3 linked regions of the Neurospora crassa OR74A genome follow. The protein of the gene in region 1 interacts with the protein of each later gene in a pairwise test. Links are inferred from orthologs where the notes say so. Each region holds a gene or a part of one and is shown on either strand. Other genes may lie near its edges. The genes, in order: NCU10273, NCU06708 and NCU05313.

Region 1 (7,644 bases):
GCAAGTTAGAGTTGACGGAGGAGCAGAGGGAGGGGGCAGTGGTGGTTAGTAAGCCGGGGTCTGGAAGTGCGCTTTATTTGGGTGGGAAGGAAGGGTTGGCTTGATGGATGCTGAATAGGGGTTTGTGACTACTTATGAAGCCTGTGGTTGAATTAGTATGTTACATAGGGAAACCACTAAAAGTTCAATATACACTGACTGTTGGGGAAAGTGACGAAAAGACTGTGTTCTTCATCCAGTCAATTTCCCTGGTAATTGATCGCTCAACTTGTGTCTTTACAGCCATGATAGCTATCATGGTTATCGTCAAACAGTCCTAGAATATATACACGGAAAAACGCTATGTGAACCCCTCTCACCAATTTCACCATGAGGGGATAAAAAAAGAAAACCAGAGGAACATATATATACAAAGGCCAGAAAGGACACCAACAAGCAGTTGTAACGCCAAAACCCATGTAAATGCACACCCAGACCACGGCCCAATTCGCTGCATAGTGCCAATCGCCCAACCTGTCCCAATTTCTCGCTGGATCAATAACACGTCTCACCCAACACCATTATTCTTCCAAAAATTCACGTCTGTTCAAGTACTGACCAAAACCACCCCCGCCTTGAACGCGAGATGAGACTGGCAAAGTCCTACTGATTACCAGTGCCAGCGCCAGCGCCAGCAGCCCTCCGATTAGACCTTTGTCCTCCTCCTCCTTCTCCCCCCCTTTTTCTCACAATTCTCCGCGCCTTCTTCGCTTGCACATTCCTGTACTTGGCATACAGCTCAAACACGTCCCTGATCACCACGAACAGACAGCCACCAGCCAGACTGCGTCCCCATCTCTGTTGCAGCAGACCGCCGGGCCCTCCTTGCATGATTTTTCCACTCCTAAAGAACCCCGACGTGACAATGGCCTTGGGTGGGGAAGTCCACGACCTCGGTAGTGAGAGGCGGAGAAGCTCGCCCATGCCGTACGAGATGAAGGGGAAGAGAAGAGAGGTGACTACGTTGTTGGTGAGATCGGTGAAGGAAACCAGGGGGAGTTCCACGCCGTCTTGGTCGTCGTCGTTCCTTTCCCGTGCTGCGGGCTGTGGGGGTGGAGCTGCTGCTGCTGGCGCGGGCGCTGGCGCGGGCGCTGGCACTGCTGGGGCCGGGATGCGAGCCTCGGCTTCTGCTGCTTGGGCTGGTGCTGCTGGCGCGGGCGCTGGCACTGCTGGGGCCGGGATGCGAGCCTCGGCTTCTGCTGCTTGGGCTGGTGCTGCTTGGGCTGGTGCTACTTGGGCTGGTGCTGCTTGGGCTGGTGCTGCTTGGGCTGGTGCTGCTTGGGCTGGTGCTGCTTGGGCTGGTGCTGCGTGGGCTGGTGCTGCGTGGGCTGGTGCCGCTTGGGCTGGTGCTGGTTCGGGTGGAGCTGGTCGTGGTTGTGGTTGTAGACCCCCTTCCCAAACCATACCAATTGGTACGCCTTGATACTGTGGAGGCACATCCCAAAGCCCACCTGATGCACCGTCGATGGCAGTGGGAATCTCCTCATTGTGAGGCCCCGGACGGTGAAGGTCGGAGAATAGGAAATCATCGAAGTCGAAGCCATGGTTACCGTTGACGGCATTATTGTTGACGGCATTGTTGTTGACGGCATTAGCGCCTACTTCGAAGTCGGAGCCATCGTTATCGTTGACGGCATGAGCGCCTAGTTCCCAAGGATCATCTAGATTTGCTTCGTTCTGGTCTGGGGGGTTGATGAGGGCAATCCAAGCGGTGCGGCCCAGGTCTAGGAGATCGGACATGCTGAAGCGGCTTCCACGGTCTTGATTTCCATTGTTGTTGTTGTTTCCGGCCTCGGATTCGCCGGCGGCACTATCGATGGGCTGAAGGCTGCTTTCGAGACCCCGTAGAGCCCGGTTGAGGCGATCGTCGATCGGGCTTAGCCAGTAATTGTAGAATCTGATATAACTCATATGTAGATAAGGCATCATAACCATTGCCCACGTGGGTGAGGGCGGCCATGTTGGGTGATCGTCCTGGGTTATGAGTGCCAAGCCGTACTGATGAGGTGAAAGGTTAGAGTCAGCATCGACCGTGGAGATAGGATGAGGAAAAGGGTTGACAAACCATGGCGGAGAATGGAACAAAAAAGAAATTAGCCAGGAACGGCAAAGCTCGACTAAGGACGACGGCCGGAGCAATGGATGATAGCGACCACAGCCTCATCATTATTCTCCCTACTCGCGCACTTCTTGCCACGGGTACGGCAACAGCTTGACCGGGAGTAATCTGAAGGCCGACCCACCCGAGTGCAGTCTCGTAGCCAGCAAACCAGGAGGCAGCGACAACACCGTATGTAGCAGAGCTGGCAAAGGTACCGCTCACGGCCATGGACGCGAGGATAATGGGCGACACCTTGCTGAACTGCGAATGTATCGTATCGCGCAGAGCCACGACAAAGTCAAAGGGCTCCTCGACCTTGAAGGGAGCCTTGCACTGCGGACAAGTCACGTCGTCACGGCTGTTCCGCTTTTGGATCTCTTCGTACCATCGTATAAGGCATGTCTCGTGGACGGGCAAACTGCATGTACAAGGATGGATGACCGGTTCGGTAGTGTGTTCGCCTTCATCCTCGTAACAGATGCAGCATCGCTTGAAGTTGTCTGTGTTGGAACGTGTGAGGTTATTTGGTACGGGGTCTGGGCCGGCTCGTGAGCTGGTGCTTGGCGTCGCCATCTTGGGCTTGGTCGGGTGTGAGGGAGGAATGATTCGGTAACCGTCGTGGTCGTCGCCGTTATCGCTACAATATACAAGCAGTGGAAATGGTTATGGATTAATATCGAGACAGCGGGAACAGCAGAACCTGGCGTGGTTCAGGTCAGCAGACCGCCTTGTTATATCCGCAGAGAAGACATAAGTAGGTATGTACCGACAAGAAGGAGTGGACGACGGACGGTGGAAAGCAGCGCCGTCAACCTAATAGAAGGCGGGAGCGAAGCCCGAGCTGTGAAGGCTGTTTTTTTTTAAAAAGAATAAAAAATTAGGGCGCTGTCTTGAACCGCAATCGCAACCGCGACGGACTGTCAACGGGGCGTTGCGTTGTGCATTTCACATGCGTGACATCAGCGAGGCTCCACCCAACGGCACCGGGAGCGCATCGCAATGGAACCCCAAGGGTTCGGGTTTTGGTGGTGGGGGATCTGTACAGTTAAGCGCGTGCTGCGATGCTTATCCGGGCCCGGCTTTCATCGTCTACTACACATCATTTTTTGTAGAAGCTTAAGCCAGCCGCTGACCCCGCAGTTGCCCTCGTCTGCAAGGATATTGTACACTGGGCGATTGGGCGTTTGATTGCCCGCCCCATCCAATTCTAGAAGCGTCCCGCTGTTGCAGCCCCTCTGCCATCCCCTCCATTCGGACCAGTGTGCTGTACCTACCCATTCCCCCATTGTACAGACCGCCCGCCCGCCCGCCCGCATCCGTCTTTCTTGTCAGGTCATATCTCTTAAGGTACCCCGTGGCCCAACCAAAATAACCCAATACTCAAACTTCACGACATTATTTCTCTCTCTTTTAGATACCCCTAGATCGACAACGCTCACATCATACACAAGATGGTACGCCATATCAACTTCCCTCCGTTTCCTCGAACTAGATGAAAGCTAACCCTGCTCCTCCGCCTCTCAAACAGACGACAACAAAGCAGCGCCTCGCGCTCGCCATCTGCGACTTCCTCAACACCTCCTTGACCGACGGCACCCTCCAAGCCGACGACAAGGACAACATCGACATTGCCGTCAACTGCATCGGCGAGGCCTTTGGTGTCGACCCCTCCGATAAGGCCGCCGTGACCGAGGCCATCGGCTCCCAGAACCTGCTCCAGATCTACTCCGTCTACGAGAAGCTCAAGCAAACCAAGCCCGCCGCCGCCTCTGCCTCTTCCACCACCTCCTCCTCTTCCGCCGCCCCTGCTGCGGCCAGCACCAGCAGCAATGGCCCCACAGAAGAAGACAAGAAGCAAGCCGAATCCCTCAAGTCCAAAGGCAACGCCGCCATGGCCCAAAAGGACTACCCAACCGCCATCGACTTCTACACCCAGGCGCTCACTCTAAACCCAGGCAACGCCGTCTACCTGTCCAACCGCGCGGCCGCCCACTCTGCCGCGCGCGACCACGAGTCCGCTCGCGCCGATGCCGAGGCCGCCGTCGCCATCGACCCCAAGTACACCAAGGCGTGGAGCCGCCTGGGCCTTGCGCGCTTCGCCCTCGGCGATGCTAAGGGCGCCATGGAGGCGTACCAGAAGGGTATTGAGTACGAGGGCAACGGCGGTAGTGAGGCCATGAAGAAGGGATTTGAGACGGCCAAGAGGAGGGTTGAGGAGCTCGAGGCTCAGAATGATGCGCCTGCCGCCCGTGGCGGTGCCGGTGGTGCCGGTGGCATGCCTGATTTGAGCAGCTTGGCGAGCATGTTCGGCGGTGGTGGTGGTGGTGCGGGCACTGGCGCTGGCGCCGGTGCTGGTGGTGGTGGTGGTGGCATGCCCGATTTTGGCTCCATCATGAACAACCCCATGTTCGCCCAGATGGCCCAGAACCTCATGAGCAACCCCGACATGATGTCCAACCTTATGAACAACCCCCGTCTCAGGGAAATGGCGAACCAGTTCCAGGGCGGCGGTGGTCTGCCTGACATGTCTTCGCTTATGAACGATCCCAACATTGCCGATTTGTAAGTCTATTCCTTTGATTCTTCTTAGCTTCTGGGAGTTCAAACACACTAACAAGATTGATAGGGCGCGCTCGTTCATGGGTGGTGGTGGTGCTGGCGGTGCCGGTGGTGCTGGCGGAAGGTAACGAGCTGATAGAAGTGTTGAGGGATGATTTATGATTCTTGCAGCATTTCTTTACCCGCTTAGCTCAGGTATAATAAAACAAGTTGGCATAGTATGAGTCCAGTGTACAAGCAGGCCATGAGTCTAGTCTACGATTGGATTTCATGCTCTCCTTTTAAAGGCTGAACTATACTTTTTGTGCTCTACAGGGTCCCTGCGCTGATGCATGAGCTTCACGAGGACCCCCAACTTGTCTGCGATTTTGAACTTCGAATACATCAATGTATTCAAGAGCCTCTCAGGCTACTAGCCCCTATTTCGAGTATTGAATCTACCACCCATACCTTATATACAATTCCCAACAAAACACTAAACAATCCCATTTTCCCCTGTCAACCATCCAGCTGATTAAACCATCCCTCATACTCCGCAATCCGCAAATGTTGAATGTCCCTAACCCTTGATTATCCCTTTCCAACCCTCTATTTTGATCATCTCTGCTGACGTTTTCTACGTGTACCTGTTTCTGTCTTGTCCGGTTTCATCGTCCCATCAAATCATTGCTTAACCAACCCAGCGTCTAGCGCTCCTGAACATCCTCAACCAAGGGCCGAACTCGCCCCACTGGGCAAGCTGGTCCTCGGGAGCGTAGCTCGTCACACCAGCCATGATGGTTCTCTCAGGGTGAGGCATCATGGCCAGGACACGGCCATCCCTGCTGGCCACACCGGCAATACCAGCCGGGCTGCCGTTGGGGTTGAAGGGGTACTCCTCCGTGACGTTCAGGCGGTTATCGACGTAGCGGATGGGGATACCGTTCTGCTCAGTGAGCGCCTGGAAGTCAGCCTGCGAGTCGAACTCGGCGCGGCCCTCGCCGTGGGAGACGACGATAGGAAGGCTGGATCCGCCCATGCCGTTGAAGAAGACCGAGTTTTTGGTTGCCTCTCCTTCCTCGATCTTGACCATGCTGTAGCGGGCCTCGAACTGGGCCGAGGCGTTCTGCACAAACGTGGGGAAGTGCTCGGCGCCGGGGATCAGCGACCGGAGACGGGAAAGCATCTGGCAGCCGTTGCAGACGCCCAAGCTGAAGGTGTCCTTGCGGTTGAAAAAGGCCTCGAGCTCGGCGCGGGCCTTCTCGTGCAGCAGAATGGACTTGGCCCAACCCTGGCCGGCGCCGAGGACGTCACCGTACGAGAAGCCACCGCAGGCGGCAAGACCGACGAAGTCGGCGAGCGAGCGGCCGTTGATGATGTCGGTCATGTGAACGTCCACCGCATCGAAGCCAGCGGCACGGAAGGCGAAGGCCATTTCGGCGTAGCCGTTGACACCCTGCTCTCTGAGGATGGCAACACGAGGCGTCTTGCCGAAGAAGCCAGTGATGGAGGCAGTGAAGGGAACGATGTTCTCGGCGGGAGAATAGGTAAGGGTGTAGGAGAGACCGGGGTCTTGAGAGTCGAGGATAGCAGCATACTCAGAGTCGGCACACGCCGGGGTGTCTCTCAACTTCTGCATCTCGTACGAGGTCTTGCTCCACCACTGCTGCATCTCAGCCCGGTCAAGGGTCACGAAGGGCTTGCCCTCGCCGTAGCGAATGGCAAGTGTCTGCTTGGCAGTGGGCAGAACGACACCAATCTTGCGAATCAGGCCAGCAGGAGGGCCGCAAGTGGCGAAGCAGCGCTTGAAGTTGGTCTCGTCCTCGGCACGAACCTGGAAGACGGCACCAAGCTCCTCGTTGAAGAGCGCATCGGTAAGATCGGCCAAGCTTCCGGACTTGGAAACGCCGTCCAAAGTCAAGTCGACGCCGCAGCGACCGGCGAACATCATCTCGGCAACAGTAGTGATCAAACCACCATCGGACCTGTCATGGTAGGCAAGGACGACGCCGCTCTCGTGGAGCTGCGCAAGAGCATCGAAGTAGTCCTTGAGGAGATCCACATCGCGCACATCAGGCGCCTCGTGGCCAATCGCGCCGAAGGACTGAGCAAGAGCAGAGCCACCCAGAGCCTTGAAGCCCTTGGCCAAGTCGACGAACAGGAGAACAGTCTCGCCAACTTCTTCCACGCGACGAAGCTGAGGGGTCCATGTAGTGCGAACGTCCTCAACGGTGGTAAAGGCGGAGATAACGACGGAAACAGGAGCAGTGACGCTCTTCTTGACCTCGCCATCCTTCCAGGATGCCTTCATAGAGGTCGAGTCCTTTCCAACGGGGATGCTGATGCCGAGCTCAGGGCACAGCTCCATACCAATGGCCTCGACGGCCTCGTAAAGAGCGGCACCCTCACCAGGGTGATTCACAGCGGCCATCCAGTTGGCGGAAAGCTTGACGCGCCTGAGATCACCACGCTGGGACCCGGCCTTGATATCGGCAGCACCAAGGTTCAACAAACTTTCGGCGACCGCCATTCTAGCAGAAGCAGCAGGAGAAATGAGAGCAAGAGTGGGCTTCTCACCCATAGCCATGGCCTCGCCACCCTTGACGCCGTTAAGACCAAACGAGGAGAGGGTGACAGCGACATCGGCAACGGGAACCTGCCAAGGACCAACCATCTGATCACGCACGGTTAGACCACCGACTGTACGGTCACTGATGGTGATCAGGAAGGACTTGGAGCCAACAGATGGCAGCCAGAAGACACGCTGAACGGCTTGTCTGAGGAGATCTTCGTCGCTAGTCGACTCGCCAAAGGCCTCCTTCAGGCTGGCAACAGGGTTGAAAGCAGGCCACTGGGGCTTCTTAGAAGTAACAATGCGCTCAAGCTTACGTCCCTTGGGGAAGAGGACATCCATGGGGACATCAATAGGACGGGGGTACTCGTTGGACTGCTTGTCGCTCAAGATG
Region 2 (7,304 bases), on another chromosome or scaffold:
TATCTGAAGTGATCGTTGTTGCGCAAGGAGACAAGATCCGGTCGGGCAATCTCGGTCCCTGGGTCCAAGATATGGCTGTCGTCGGGGAATTTAGCGAGGATGTCTTTCCTCTCATCTGGTGTCAACACATCCCATGCTCGTGGAAGCAGCAGAATCGCCTATGGTCAAGTGTCAGATCATGGATGTGGGATAATTTTTGTGAGAGGGAAGAGGTACGAACTCTGAGATCAGCATTGGTAAGAGGTGATTTCTCATCGGTATAGACGAAAGGTGCTTCCCACTTTCTGTCCAGGTTTGTTTTCTTTGGTGCATCTCCGGCATGTCGTGGCCTTTTAGTAGTGCTAGATTTGTCCTGGTCCGAGGCTTTACGCTTTCCGAGCTCAGTACCCAGCTGCTCATCACTGCTTCCAGAATGACGTGTAGCTTTCGAACTCCATGCATCGGTTTTAAGGACGGCTTCCTCTGGCGTTTGCCCACTTGCCCTTTTGCGTGCCCTTTTCGTCACTGTACTTGGGTCCTCATTTTTCGGACCTTTGAAGCCCTGTCCATTGATCGAGGAATCGGCGACTGTTGCTGCTTTAATTGCCGGTGTGGCGATTTCCTTCTCAACTTCCAGGTCCTGTACTGCCGAATCCGCATGCGCATCCTGCGGACTCAAAGCTTTTGGCTCGCCTACATCCGCTGGAACGGCCTCAGCCTTGAACGAAACTGAGCGAGCCGCTGCTGAAACTCCTTTTCGCGGCTGTTCAAAAGCATAAACACAATGCGTGCCAGATCCAGAACATCGTGAGCAGATTGGCTTCTCTTTTAGGCACTATCGCAGCTGTCAGACACAAAAACAATCGGGGAATATCCAGAGTTTCCGACCAACCTTCAGCTTGTTCTCACGGCAAGGAGTACACGCGCCCCTCGTCAGTTTTGGTTTGAGGATATTGCGTGAATCAGCCACACCCTCTTTAGAACTGACTGCTTCAGGCAATGATTTTCTCTTCTTGGGAACGGAACTTGGCGCAGCTGATGGAGCAATTGGTTCTTCTTCACGTGTTGGAACTTCTGGTTTATTGACTGATCGTAGTTTCGGTGGTGGGAGATTTATGGCGGCCCAGGATGTAGACCCTTTCTCTTCTGGTTGCTGAGCTTCTAACTGATCAGATGGTCGAAATTCTGTCTTGTTTTCAGGGCAAGCACTTGGTGCCGCCAACGGCGTGGCCGGTTCTCCTTCAGGTTCTTCAGGTCCTTGAACCTCTGGCTCCTTGACATATCCTTGCTCGACTGCTGGCTTTTTGGCCGCTGGCTTTTTGGCCGCTGACCTTTTGGTTGCTGACCTTTTGGCCGCTGACCTTTTGGTTGCTGACCTTTTGGTTGCTGTCTTTTTGGTTGCTGGCTCCTCGACTGTTGGTTCCTCGACTGTTGGTTCCTCGACTGTTGGTTCCTCGACTGTTGGTTCCTCGACTGTTGGTTCCTCGACTGTTGGTTCCTCGACTGTTTGTTCCTCAATTGCTGGTTCCTCAACTGCTGGTTCCTCAACTGCTGGTACCTCGACTGCTGGTTCCTCGACTGCTGGTTCCTCGACTGCTGGTTCCTCGACTGCTGGTTCCTCGACTGCTGGTTCCTCGACTGCTGGTTCCTCAACTGCTGGTTCCTCGACCGTTGACTTTTCGGCTGCTATCTCCTCCAAAGTCACCTGCGCAGCAGTATCAATCTTTTGGACAAGGATAGCATCCCAGTCCCCACTCACGCTCCGGGGAGGTGAGGCCGGAGGAGAAGAGAGGACGGAGGACAGCGGAGAACTACTTCCTTCTTCAGCCATCCTTCAGGACACCTTCAGTTAGTCGCCTTTCTGGAAAGATAATTATTGCGTGTTGAAGTTGTTCAAGGAGTGATCGAACGCGGCAGTGTGGGTTTGCCGGCAAAGGAAAAATTACCGTCAAGTCAGATCTGGATCTAGACAGATCCGGAACTACTTAGTTGTTGTGATATTAAACAATACCAGATAGCAGAAACTGGCAGAATGGCGCCGTGAAAGTCACCGTTTGTCTTTCGTAAGTCAATGATGGTTCATGCGGCCAATATGGCTGTGGTTACATCTGCGAACAAACTGATGTCTGGTGGAAGGGAGGGGAGAAAGTGGGGGGTTTATAAAAGTAGAGAATGAGATGCGTTCAGGTGAAAATGTGGTCAACGAAACGAACCGAAGTGGTACTACCTTGAGTACAAGTTGACGCGCAAGGTTGGGAGGATGTGCGAGGGAACGAGGTGGAACTGAACTTGATCTAACCACCACTCTGAACTGGGAGGGGGATTATACTGACTGTGATGAATGATAGGTACCTCTAGGTAAGTAGGTAGATATTCCACCTCCAGCTCCCCTTCCCCGATGTTGTTCGGTTGAAGATGCTCCTTCTTCAAGTCGTTGTGTGATGGACAGGATGGGTGGGGATGGAAGCTGAAAGGCGCCAAGCCCGGGCAGCCACTTGCATGACACACCCCGGAAGCTAGAGGTAGCTTGTACATACTGCATAGTAGGCGTGAATAGCGGGCCGGGCGAGACTGCCTGCTCGCACTATTTAACTACCTAAACAAAACTAACTTGCAGGCCCTGCAGGGTGAACTTTCAACACATTTCCAGCGGCAGTACCGTCATCAGTGTCCCGTTTGACGACTTGTAATCCTTGATAAGGAAACACACGTTGGCCTGGCGAAATCATTGCATCACTCTACCTACGGGTAATGTTTTGTTTTCTTTATATAGCCATGTAAAGAAAAAAAAAAAACAAGAAAGAGGATAGCGAATTACAATCTGGTCTGCTGGTCGACAGGGAAAGAAGCATGCAATTGAACAAGAGAATTCGTCGGTGCGAGTTGGTTGCGGTACCTAGGTAGAAGCCACGTACCTGGCTGCTTTTGACGGATCACTCCCACTCGTCATCACAAGCTTTTATAAACCTTGCCTTGTTCACTGTCCTCTCCAACGACACCAACTTAACAAATCCAAGCACGCAACTGAACTGGCCTTGATTTCGAGTTGCACAACGATACTAAAGGTCGCCAAAAACAACACAATGAAAAAGGAGTGATATAACCTATTCTTCACAATGATCCGCTCAACACAAATTGCACGGCTGGATGGTTCGTGCCCCCCCCCCCCCCCCCCCTAACTAACCCCCTCGACCAACATCTGTGTGCCTATGGAGATGTCAATGTCTTGTCCGGTAGCTAACCAAGACCCCTCCCCTCAAAACACAGGCCTCATGCTCTGCGCTTCCGTCGACGACGAAGCAACTGAATCCTCCCTCAGCGAAGTCAAGTCCCAAGTCAAACTAATTCTGCGCCGCCTAACGCGCACCTCGGAACCGCAAGCCAGCATCGAGAGCGGCTCTCTCTACACGCTGCACTACCTGATTCAGTCCGACATCGTATACTTCGCCATTACGGACCGGTCGTACCCGCGCAAGCTAGCCTTCACCTACCTTTCCGACATTGCGGGCGAGTTCGCGACGACGCACACCCCGGCACAGCTCATGAACCCGACGCTGCGGCCCTATGCCTTTATGGACTTTGACAGCTTCATCAGCCGCACCAAGGCGACTTACAGCGACACGCGTGCGACTCAGAACCTGGATAAGCTGCATGATGAGCTTAGGGACGTGACCAAAGTCATGACCAAGAACATTGAGGATCTGCTGTACCGCGGCGACAGCCTGGAGCGCATGGGCGAGCTGAGCAGTAGGCTGAGGGACGATAGCAAGAAGTACAAGAGGGCGGCTGTTAAGATCAACTGGGATTTGCTGCTGAAGCAGTACGGCCCCTTTGCGGCGGTCGGTTCCATTATCATCTTCTTCTTGTGGTGGAGATTCTTCTTTTGAGTGCATCCCAGGCAGGGAGCATCACCGGTAGCGGGTTAGCATGATACCGTCGGGTGGGTTTCCTCAGTCAGCCTGGCTCTGTATGATGCTGTGACGGATAGCCTACGTGGATTCTGTAATTATTTTAATATGTGTTTGTAGGGCATTGGTTTTTGGCGCTTGACCTAGCATGGAGTTTGGGTAAAGGAGGTTGGGGGGAAAGGGGGGCAAACGCAAAAGGACGTTTGGCCAGGTGAGGTTTCAGCTATCAAGACATGTTGCTTATAGGTTCCTGCTTTCCACTCCTTCATCCGATGCCTTCCTAAAGCCTGACAAGGTCTCTATGGATGACTGTACCACAGTGTCACCGATGCTCAATCATGCGTATCTCCTGGTTCATTCCAGACCGGCATCTCTTCTGCTCGACACGCTATTTCTGTCAAGCGATGATACAAAATCTCCATCTGAGATAGCCTATCGGTCTCTTTCCCTACTTGAAGTAGAAGCTCTTGCCCCCCCAAACTCCAATTCCAAACCCGTTTTTTTTTTTTTTTCTTTTTTTCAATTTTGTTGTTCTCAATCCAGAACATAAACCGACACCCTGGACACTAAGCCCAAGCTTGAACCACCCGCACACGCACCCGCAAGCCTCAATCACATAATCAAACAACTCCCCGCCGCCTTTGGCAATAACGCCGGTATACTCGGCACCGGCAACGCCGTATGATACCATTCCAAATGCTCCTGGAAGCTGGCCAAGTCCTCGAACCCCCTCTCGTCCTGTGCCCACTTGACCTCGTCCTCGCTGTCCTCACCCTGGTCCACGTACGTGTATTCGTCGCAGTAGGGACACCATATCCTCGCCAGCCAATCGCCAGGGACGGGGGCAATGTGGTTCGCAATTGCTAAGGGCGCGAAAACGACCGTCTTAGCTTCGCCTGTTTTGGCGCTTACGCCTTGGGCTTGCCAGTGGGGATATGTGTTTTCTGTTGCTGTTGTTGTCTCTGTCTGTGCTTCTTTTGTTGTTGTGGTGGTGGTGGTGGTAGTGATGGTTGACGATGGCAGAATTGCTGCTGGATATGAGGCCGTCACTATGGTCGGTAGTATGAGCTTTCTTGGAGAGTTTCTCGCTATCGTCGTTGATGTCGGGAAACTTGCTGTCGTACTTGCACTCCCTCCATTCGTCTTATCCAACGCCGCCCTCGTAGATGGCATCCTCTGTAGATCCGGCCAGACGATGAACCCGTCGCAAAAGTCGCATACAAAGGCCACGTCGTGCTCCCCAAACCTCTCGAACCTCCCAACCGCGTTGCAACATGGAACCAGATCCTCAAGGCTTAGCCTCCTCCCCCTTCTCAACGCCGGCCGTAATGCCTCGTCCGTTGTCCCTGTACGGTTTTGTTGTTGCTGTTGTTGTTGTTGTTGTTGCTGCGGATGCTGCTGATCTTGATACTCATGTCGTTGCCACGGCGGTATACTTTCGAGGTCCCTCTGCTTGCTTCCCCCTTCCCTAATCTCCTTTTCCCGCTTCTCTTCCTCCTTCTGCTTCCGTAGCCGCTCAGTTTCCTCGTTTCTTCGCTGCTGGCGATACACCTGGTAGGCACCCAGACACCGTGTCCACGGCCCTTCCTGCTCGGCCGCGAATATGCGCCGAGAGGCACGGCATTGCGTGCGGTGAAGCTCTAGTTGGAGTTCCTTGGTCTCGCTGAGCCAAGTTGGGTTGATCGGCCCACCTTGCCGAATCCAGTCTTTGTAGTTGCGGGCGTGGAATTCATATTTGACCAGGAGGGCACGCAATTCGTTGAGGGACTCGGCTTTTTGAGAGGGTTAGTTGGTAGAGCAGGCAAGGAGAAGCTTTATCTGAGTGGGATTTTTGGGAAGGAAAGGAGTGATGATGATGGTGATGGAGGCGTGTGAGTGAAAGTGCCAGGCGAAATAGTCAGCCACCAGCAGAGGAAAGATGACGTGAGTCTGAGAAAGAGCACGGTGAGGGTCAGAAAAGATTCAAGATATCATGGTATACTTACGAGTCCTGTCTCCTTCATAGTAAAACTGCCCATTGACCAAGCGCCCCAGTTCCTGAAAATCTGTCTTTGCATCATCCAACGCTTCTTCAAGGGCGCGAATCTGTTCAAACTCGTCAGGGCCCCAGTGGCGCTTGTCGGCAAATCTGAGTGCGCGAAGTGAGTCGCTCAAGTGAGTCGCAATGCTGGCCAACAGCGACCCGACCGTGTCGTGATTCGTGCTGGGACCTGTACTCATATCTTTTTTTGGCGATGGTTGCTTTGCTGGCTATGACCTCTTGATATCGGATCCCCCTCCACCTCCTCCCGTTGATATCCTTTGTCTAAGCCGTTATCGTCGTGTCGTCGTGTTCAAGCGCTTATTATTGGCCTTGGTTCCCCTCGCCTAGCGTATGCTCAATGCCGCTTTAATAGCAGTAGATGACCGCGAGTGGATGTAGACTTGGACTACCAACGAGACTCTCGTCACTAACAGAAGTCGAGCTTGGGGGGCTTGTAGGTGAGACTATCCGTCTAGGAGGTAGGTATCTACGAATGCGCAGCGATGAAGTGTTGTCTTGCGTCGTCATTAAGTGGATACACCGAGCCCCGATCCGGTAGCTGTAAGTACGGATGAGCTGAAGAAGGATTTCATCACAGAGTTGGACATGTGAGAAAGGGGCCAGCCAGGGAACGAAACATCACATGGAAGGAAGACTCGGTCGCCCAGGAAGGAAATGGGGATGGATCAATGGATGTCGAATCGTCGTGCAACGGGGGTTCGGGGCCCGGGCGCTTGGATACGATCCGACGGTTACGCCGGCGGGACCTACCTCCTCTAGAGGTATGTCGGGCACTGCTAGGCTATTGGAAGGGCCCTGTGGATCTCTCCTTGGCGGAGACAGGCAGACGTGGAAGCTAGTCCGCTGCCTTTTTGTACACTACCTTAGGTAGGTACTTACCACTACGTACAAACACAACACAGGAAGCTGCATCAGGTCGGGGGAGAAGTTGCTGCAGTGTGGCAGCGGAACAACGGGTGCCATCCAAACTCTTCAAAACGGAACCCTGTAAAAGGACAGCAAGGTGCTCATCAACTAGGGTTATTTTGACTCGTATTGTTGGTGATGGGAGGGCCAGGCCCCCTGCTGTAGTAGCGCATCTGAATGGGTAATCAATGAATGGGACGGGGGTTCGGGGACGGTTTTGTTTGCGAAACGTGGAAATCGTGGAGATCTTGGCGGGGAGCATTTCTCCCTAGGTGCTTAGAGTCGGTACACTAGAGGCCCATATGGAGGCCTCTCTACATCCGACTCCGTTAATTTTAGGTGGGATTCCCCGAGGAAGCCCTTCGTTTCCTAAAACCAGCTTTTAGCGATGACATCTACCTCTGCTTGTAGCCTCCAGCTTCGACGGCGGGGAGGGGAAAGTATCTTACTAGGTACCCAATGGATAA
Region 3 (7,390 bases), about 1.3 Mb from region 1:
ATTCCCCGTGGAACCAATGCTTACACGGTAGCACCGTGACCTCTTCTCCCTTGTACATGTCGTCGATGCAAATGGTACATTCGGCTTTACCCTCGGGGCCGACCATCTGCTCGTCGAGGATCTTTTTGGGTAATTTCTCAATAGCGGCTTGCGTTGCTGGAGGAGCCGCATTGGACTGCGGGTTAGCTTCCATGAGGGTCGTTATAATGCGGTCGAGTGCCTCCTGGGTATACACGGCATCGCCATGGACTGCCGCCTGTGGGTTCAGCAATGTCGCGATAAAGTCCTGCAGGCCAGTGGCAAATCCAAGAGGAGGCCCTCGTGGACCACCGCCTTGGCCCTGGCCCTGGCCGCCACCGGGGTCTTCTGCGCCCGGCGGCGGGATGTTGCCAAAGAGACCCCTAAACAGACTGCCATCACCGTTCGAGTTAGCCCTCCTATTAGTCACAACAATGATTGTGTGTCTGCGAATTCCAGGGAAACCATTGCCATGTCGCGAGCGAACATACGTGTCAAAAGCGGGCGCTTCCGGCCCGTCTCCCGCTGGGCCTCCTGCAGTTGTCGTGGTCGTGAAGGTAAAGCTAGCCATGCCGTCTCCTGCTCTGGTGAAGGTTGTACGTTGTATCCGCGGCTGTGTCCCAAAGGCGTTTCCCCCTTGCTGTCCCGGCCTCGCGCCGCTTAACTCGACAAACATGTCGGCGAACCGCGACAACACGGCCTCGCCAGGATCATCTGGGCGGGCACGCGGCCGGTCCGGACTGCTATCAAGATCCTCAAGACCGTTCCCACTTGAACGGTTGAAGGGACTATCTGGCGATTGGTACACCGATCGTCGCATGAAGAAGGACCCGGGGCCACGCTCGAGGAACTGCTCTATGTCATCTTCCTCCGGGTCCGAGTCTGAACGGTGACCTTGTTGTTGAACACCTGGTCGGGGATCGTTGTCAGGTTCGACCTGTACAAAGGTTAGCGTGGCGATAGCTGGACGGTAGATGGGAGAACCCACAATCTGGACGAAATCATTGTGACACCTGGGGCATTCTAGGTCCAGATGGGGGTAATCGTCACGATACCACTCGTTTTCGCAGCCATAGCAGTAGACGACTTCTCTACCCGTTGTCGCATCGAGATGCCTCGGGGGAAATCCGGGAGAGGCCATCGCCGTCGGTCGGCCCAGCAGCCTTTGGGTTGCGTTGTAAGCAGCAAAGGCGGCGAGCCCTAACTGGACGGTGAGGCCGATGGTTTGGAGCGCTCCTCGCAGGGCCAGTTTGATGTTTGATATCGGGGTCGGCGAGTGTTTCGAATGACGGAGAGGAGATCTCCAAGGATTATACAGTTGGCTTCGGAATTCAAGAAGCCCGCGCGTAATATGGCGAGGATACTAATTGTAGGTGGAGGTCTGGCACTTGAAGTACTAGGTGATGTAGGTTGTTTGAGTGAAGTGAAGTGAAGTGGCTGCCCCACTATGATGGAGTCGATGTTCTTGATGCAGCTGCTGTGATCTACAGCGTTGGCGTCCTACATTCAAGGATTCGCAGCGGCGACGGCATCAACGGGATGGAGCAGTCGCGCGGCACAACTTTAATGGACAGGTATCGGATCTTGCGCGTTGTCAAGGGGAATCTTCCGTCGTTCGAGGCTGTCGGCTCTTTTGTGGCGAGGGTTCTATTGTTAGGAGAAAAGGAATGGAATGGATGATGGCACAAGGTCGGTTTGTTGGAGAAGGTTCAGCCGTTTGCTAGATCGATGTAGGTGGTGTCTGTACCTGCCTCCCTGCCTTGCGCTGAGGTAAGATCCGACCGAGCAATAAAAGAGGGATGACAGCCATCCCATTGGACCCTGGGTATCGCTGTAACCGCTGTATTTGGTTAGGCCTCGGAAAGTCGGCGCAGGCCGGGCATGCGTCACAGCGTTACCTCTGCGTACGGTAATTTGAGACCAGGATGTATAATGGATCCTGGTAATTACCTAATTGTTCTTTTCCCTTCTTATACTCGCCACGGGTCAATATGGCCCTCACTCTTTTTTGTCCCTTTATATAGTTCACTGATGTATCTGTCCAATGTTGATGCTGAGACATACTGGATGTATTACAATGTTGCAAGTAGGTAGTCCTTTTCCATACTCATCCACGACCCGTGAATCATGAATCGGATGGGGTTCAAGGTAGAATATGGGCAATGTTTCATGTCACATTGATACTGCATTTCTTAACGGCCTGATGAGGGGAAGAAATGAAGTCTGCCCTGGGCTTCATTAGGTGCAGCATGGAAAGCCCAAGGGACCCGATTAAGCATGTCGCAGGTCGTTAACAGGAGAAGTGAGCCAATGTGTCGGCGTCGAGCTGCAGCCTGACCCTGAGACAAATGGTCCCGCATGCACGAAAGTGGGCTATGACCGGGGCAAGGCACGGCAAGGCACACATCTTTGAGGAGCAACAATGGTAGGGTACGGTATTGGGTGTATGTATTGATATATCGTTTAGTAACACGATTGATACCTCTAACGCTACAATATGGTTTTTGGAATGACAATGTGATACCAAGGCTTTCCAACATAAACAAAGCGAGAGGTACAGTAACACCGTCACGGGGTCTAAGCCTTCAAAGAGGAGCACCTCTGCGTTGACTGTTGTCACACCTGGCAGTTCTTCAAGGCTAGCGCCAAGAACTAACACCCGCGACGTCTTCGAGCATCCAATCTCTGGGATCGCTTCTAGATGCAGTAACCAAAGTCCACGCCGTCAAATAAAGCGAATTTAGGGCGTGAGCCGAGTTCGATTCAAGAAAGAGCATCTCCAGAGATGGAGTCTAACAAGCCAACAACAATCTAAGATAGGTAGTTGGGGGAAGTGGGGGATGTGAACCAAATAACCCATGTCTTATAGAAAGGAATGTCTGTAATCCAGTTATCGGGACTTTAAAGAAGGAAAAGAGGATTCAGCTCGTCAAATCATAGCCCATAATATACACACCGGACCCTGTTGTCCCATATCGTCATCAAGGAGCGGCCTTTTCTGCCCTTTCACCTTGTGCCATATGTCATCATCCATCAGGCGACCGGCTCACCCTCCTACCCACTACCTCTTGCGGCCCAAGTTCCTGAGCAAAACGCCTCCTATGACACCGGCGGCAACCGCCACACCACTAATGATGGCCACTCCCATCAAGCCCTCCTTGGTCACCTTGTCGTCAATCAGGGCTCGGAGGTTGGCGGCCTGGAGGTTTGCCGGCTCGTTTTCTAGGAGGGCGTCGTTGTATTTCCTCGCTTGCGCGTAGTTACCGAGCTTGTAGTTGCCGAGGGCGAGGTAGTATAGGCATTCGCGGCGGCGCTCGGGCGATGTTCGGAAGATTTCTGATAGCAGCATGACACCGAGGTGTTGGTCGGCTCGTACGTTGGACTTTACTAGGCCCTGTAGCATTTCGTAAAGAAGTTATTTAGTTTATATTTCTTTTCAACGGGAATCATGGGTGTTGGTTCGTACCCATGCGTAGTTGAACTTGGTCTGGACGCCAACCATCTCTCCCTCCTTCTCATATTGCGCCCGGAGAACATTGAGCTCGGCGGGGTTGAGCGGACTGCATCGTTATCGTCGTTGGTTAGATGACTCGGCGATCCTGGGGCGATTGTGCAACTCGGGGACTCACGTTTCCGCATCCACTGCATCTGTAACCACGGATGTTAGCTACCTGTGCCAAGCTTGGAAGAACAATGAAAACGAGTCCCATGAGCTGACCAGCACCTACAGGGAAGTTGTGTCATTTTGACAAGCTGGGTGTATTTAGTTGAAGGAACAAGAAAACTGGTATCCTGAATAGAAGTAGGTATATGGTCGTGAATTGTGCGGCAGCGGGCGACTCTGGTATCTCGGGTTTGTAGGTAAGGTAGGTAGTGGTGGTGTGAGACGGAGGTGGACAGCAAGGTTCTGGAATTACCAGGTTAATGATAGCTGAGAGTGCCGCCAGTAGTTTTATCGCGTGGCTGGAGCTCTGTTTAATGTGCCACCGATGACGAACGACACTGGGGAAACCCACTGCAGCATGCCCGATCCTTGACCGGTGATAGCCCGAGGTCCCGTCCCCATGTAAATCTGCGATAAGATAAGGGAATGTCCCACTTCAGGTCCTGTTGCGGCTCCTGTCCCGCTAGGTCCCGTCGTCGCCCAGGATGAATGGGTCCCGCTGTTGTTTGGTTTGGGACTCGACAATTGCGACACAACAACAAACCATTCGCGACCTCGAGTTCGTTCGCGAACAAACACTTTTCTACAACAACAGAAACTAAACGAGCACACTTTTACCGTCACGGAACTCATAAATTCAACTCGATCGCAGAAGCAAATATTTACATATACCCGAATTAAAACAGAACACCAACCTCAAGTCAAACTAAACCTGCCAAAATGCTTCTCGAAGAAGACCCCTCCACCGTAAGCTTCCCCGTTCATTCTACATCACTCCAACCTACCAAAGAACCTCCCCCTCTTCATCTCCCTCTCTTCCCATCCCCCTTACCCACCCCTCCCTCTTTCTTTCTCTCTATCAACCACCCACTAACCCCCTCCCTCCCTTCAAGCTAATCGCCCACACGACCCAAAACTTCAACATCACGCCCGACCGCCACGCCGTCTCGCGCGTCGCCGAATCACTTTCCACGCTACAACAAGCGCGCGACCTCCGCCTGCGCGAATCCGAAACCAACCTCAAGAAACTCGCGCGCACCCTCAACACCTTACAGTCCCAGCACCAAGAAGTCACGTCCTCGCACAGTTCCGCCGAGCACGCCTCGTTGATTTCCCGTCTCGACACGCAAAAGTTCCGCGTGGCGAAAAATGTTTCAGATCTAGAAATGGAGACGGAGCGACTACAGACGCAATTGGCGGAACTACAGGCGCGGTTGCAGGAGTTGGAGTTGCAGGGGGTTGATGGTGGTGATGCTTCTGCTGCTGGTGGTGCCACATCGACGGGAGAAAATAATGGGAACGGCAGTGCCGGGAATGGGGGCCAGGTCAGGAGCGTGGAGGATGAGGTGTTGTTGTGAGGTTGAAGGTGTATAGGAGCTTGGGAATCGAGATTGAGAGGGAGGAGCAGGATGGAGGGGAGTTTACGAGGGCGGTGGTGCGGAATGATAGGCGGGGGGATGTGTGCGTGGTTAATGTGGACCGGCATCGGTTTTCGAGGTTCTTTTATGCCAATTATTTTTGGCAGACGTTGTAGGGGCGGTTGCTTGGGGGTAATGTGAGATGGCTGGGGATGGGGTATGATGGGAAGGTTGGGCTAGGATGAGGTTACGGACGCTTGCGAAAGGGATATGATGCATGGATGGATGGGATCGGCGTCTGGAGGAGTTTGGGTGGGAATAATACCATGTCATTATTTTGTTGTTTCAAAACAAGTCGGATTTCTTAGCGTGATCATATTGAAGTATGTTTTGCTTTATTATCGCTTTTCGCTAATACCCAGACGTGTTCTATCCTTGTAACTTGTCATAACAGTGTCTGTATCTGTTTAACGAAAAAAAAAAAAAAAAAAAAAAAAAAAAAAAAAAAAAAAAAAAAAAAGGGGCCCTGGTTACGTATACGAACATTGTCCAGATCAGCAAAATTAGACAAACATAACATGACAATTATTCACGCCGTAGGCCTCCACTTCCCTTTCTGAGAAGTGAAACCCGCAAAGTACTCTTGCTCCTTCTCCCACATCCCCATACCCATCGGCGACACCCCGTTTCCATTACGGTGATTGTTCCTCCTATCCCCCGGCGGCAGCGCCATCTTCGATATGCTTCCAAAAGCGCTCTTATTCGCCCTGGCGCCCGTACCATGCCAATTATTCGTTTGCGCCTCGGCACAATGTCCCGATCCAGCTGTGCCATTTCCACTTCTCAAAGTCCCCTTTCTACCATTAGTACTTCCCCCCATCCAACCCGCCTCCAACGATTGCGACGGCCCAGCACTATGCGATCGATGGCTCAGACTGTGGTGGTACCGACCCACAAAGCTGGAGCACCTTTCCATCGGCAGTTCCAGCCGTGAGTTGATGTTCTGCCAGGCGTCGTCGTCGTCATTGCTGTCGTTCAGTCGCCACCCGCCTACTCCTTCAAAGTCTCGCTGGATGCCGACCGAGGGAGCCAGCCCGCCGGTCTCGGGCAGAGGGGGAACCATCTCGGCGTCTTCCCGGATGGAAGCGATGGTAGGCGAGATGGATGCTTGACTAGAGCGGCGAGAGCGACGAACGGTGCCAAAGCCGTAGCTGCTCTTGCGGCGGAGAGGACTCCGTTGGTGGGAGTCGTAACCGTTGTAGTAGTAAGGGGAGGGAGAGACGACGGCTAAGGGCGAGTTGTCCTCACTATCCCCGGCGGCTCTGTTTCCGACGCTGCCTGTGCTACTAGAGGATAGACGGCGTGGAGTAAGAAGTTCGCCGTCAGTGACGCTATGGTAGTGACGGCCTTTGATGAACTGGGGGACGAATGCCATGGCTATGTCGACGTAGACGATGGCTACGCGGAACATGAGCAAAGAGAAGGCGAGGGCGGAGGTGATACTCGCGAAGATGGCCATGGGAATGGTGAAGAGGCAGAGGAAGGGGACAACGAGTCCATGGACGGGGTTGAGGAAGGCCATGGTGTCTGTGCGGGGTGTTTGCGGTCTGTGGCAACAGATGATGTTGAGGATGTCGAAACCCTGGAGTGAAGGCCTCGGTTTTCTGGTTTGCGTTTTGACGGCGAGTTGGAGAGTGAGGTGGGAGGGGGTCTATGAAGCTGTATAAGGTATGCAGCTTATTGGATTTTCTTGCAGGCGAGGGGCATATCTGCCGCTGAGACCAACATGCCGTGCGTGCGCTTGGAGCACAGTTCCCTTGGTTATCTTGTTCCCTGACCCGAGGTTGTGGCACTGAACTAGTACAGTTTGAGTTTACGACTTGATAAGAGTTTGTTATTTGGGGGAGATTTTGTCTAGGCTCCGAGGGCCATGACGGATGTAAAGTGTAACGGGCTTGAAGTGCGCAAGACGGGGAAACGGAGAGTGAACCGGGAAAAAGCAGGGGGGACTTGAGCCGTTTGGAAACAGGGATCGGTCGGAGCTTAAAAGCTGGGGAAGCAGTTTCAGGGTCCACTACGCCCGCTTTGACACTTCGGCAGGCGCCGAATGAGCAACCAGATCATCACAAGGGGCTGTTCTTAGCGGGCCGTGAACACCTCCAGCGGTTGACGTGCCCCGGAATAATGAGGTCTTGGCAGCCATTCCCTTACGTTTTCGATCCGCTCTTGCAAGAATCTGGACACCACCAAGAACGATGCCCCCTCTTTCCACTTGTCGTTCCATGAGATGATCGAGATTCCTGCTTGACGGCCACAAGTTGCATATGTACATGTTCACCGGTCCCTTTGT

What was found.
Region 2: the proteins of NCU10273 (region 1) and NCU06708 interact in binary tests that used the Saccharomyces cerevisiae proteins (3 or more experiments, as listed by UniProt). The link is inferred for Neurospora crassa OR74A from reciprocal best matches to the Saccharomyces cerevisiae genes SGT2 and SEC22.
Region 3: the proteins of NCU10273 (region 1) and NCU05313 interact in binary tests that used the Saccharomyces cerevisiae proteins (3 or more experiments, as listed by UniProt). The link is inferred for Neurospora crassa OR74A from reciprocal best matches to the Saccharomyces cerevisiae genes SGT2 and FIS1.

The regions. Positions count from the first base shown.
Region 1 is NC_026504.1:4,099,675-4,107,318, forward strand, and holds NCU10273 (Hsc70 cochaperone), read left to right. Parts: upstream 1-3,428; 5' UTR 3,429-3,591; coding exon 3,592-3,594; intron 3,595-3,668; coding exon 3,669-4,702; intron 4,703-4,766; coding exon 4,767-4,827; 3' UTR 4,828-5,194; downstream 5,195-7,644. Other genes in the region: NCU08687 (galactokinase), read left to right, coding at 1-104; NCU08686 (hypothetical protein), read right to left, coding at 643-1,158, 1,228-2,037, 2,105-2,713; NCU08685 (phosphoribosylformylglycinamidine synthase), read right to left, coding at 5,370-7,644. UniProt on the Saccharomyces cerevisiae protein: Co-chaperone that binds to the molecular chaperone Hsp70 (SSA1 and SSA2). Regulates Hsp70 ATPase activity. Required for recovery from heat shock.
Region 2 is NC_026505.1:4,346,436-4,353,739, forward strand, and holds NCU06708 (protein transporter sec22), read left to right. Parts: upstream 1-2,933; 5' UTR 2,934-3,095; coding exon 3,096-3,129; intron 3,130-3,246; coding exon 3,247-3,866; 3' UTR 3,867-4,240; downstream 4,241-7,304. Other genes in the region: NCU06707 (uncharacterized protein), read right to left, coding at 1-158, 221-814, 872-1,810; NCU06709 (hypothetical protein), read right to left, coding at 4,500-5,659, 5,873-6,107. UniProt on the Saccharomyces cerevisiae protein: Nonessential SNARE involved in targeting and fusion of ER-derived transport vesicles with the Golgi complex as well as Golgi-derived retrograde transport vesicles with the ER.
Region 3 is NC_026504.1:5,369,243-5,376,632, forward strand, and holds NCU05313 (mitochondria fission 1 protein), read right to left. Parts: upstream 4,045-7,390; 5' UTR 3,763-4,044; coding exon 3,747-3,762; intron 3,667-3,746; coding exon 3,648-3,666; intron 3,579-3,647; coding exon 3,485-3,578; intron 3,413-3,484; coding exon 3,080-3,412; 3' UTR 2,454-3,079; downstream 1-2,453. Other genes in the region: NCU05314 (hypothetical protein), read right to left, coding at 1-410, 510-955, 1,007-1,159; NCU05312 (hypothetical protein), read left to right, coding at 4,403-4,429, 4,576-5,040; NCU05311 (hypothetical protein), read right to left, coding at 5,630-6,622. UniProt on the Saccharomyces cerevisiae protein: Has a role in mitochondrial fission. Has a role in outer membrane fission but not matrix separation. Required for targeting MDV1 to the mitochondria.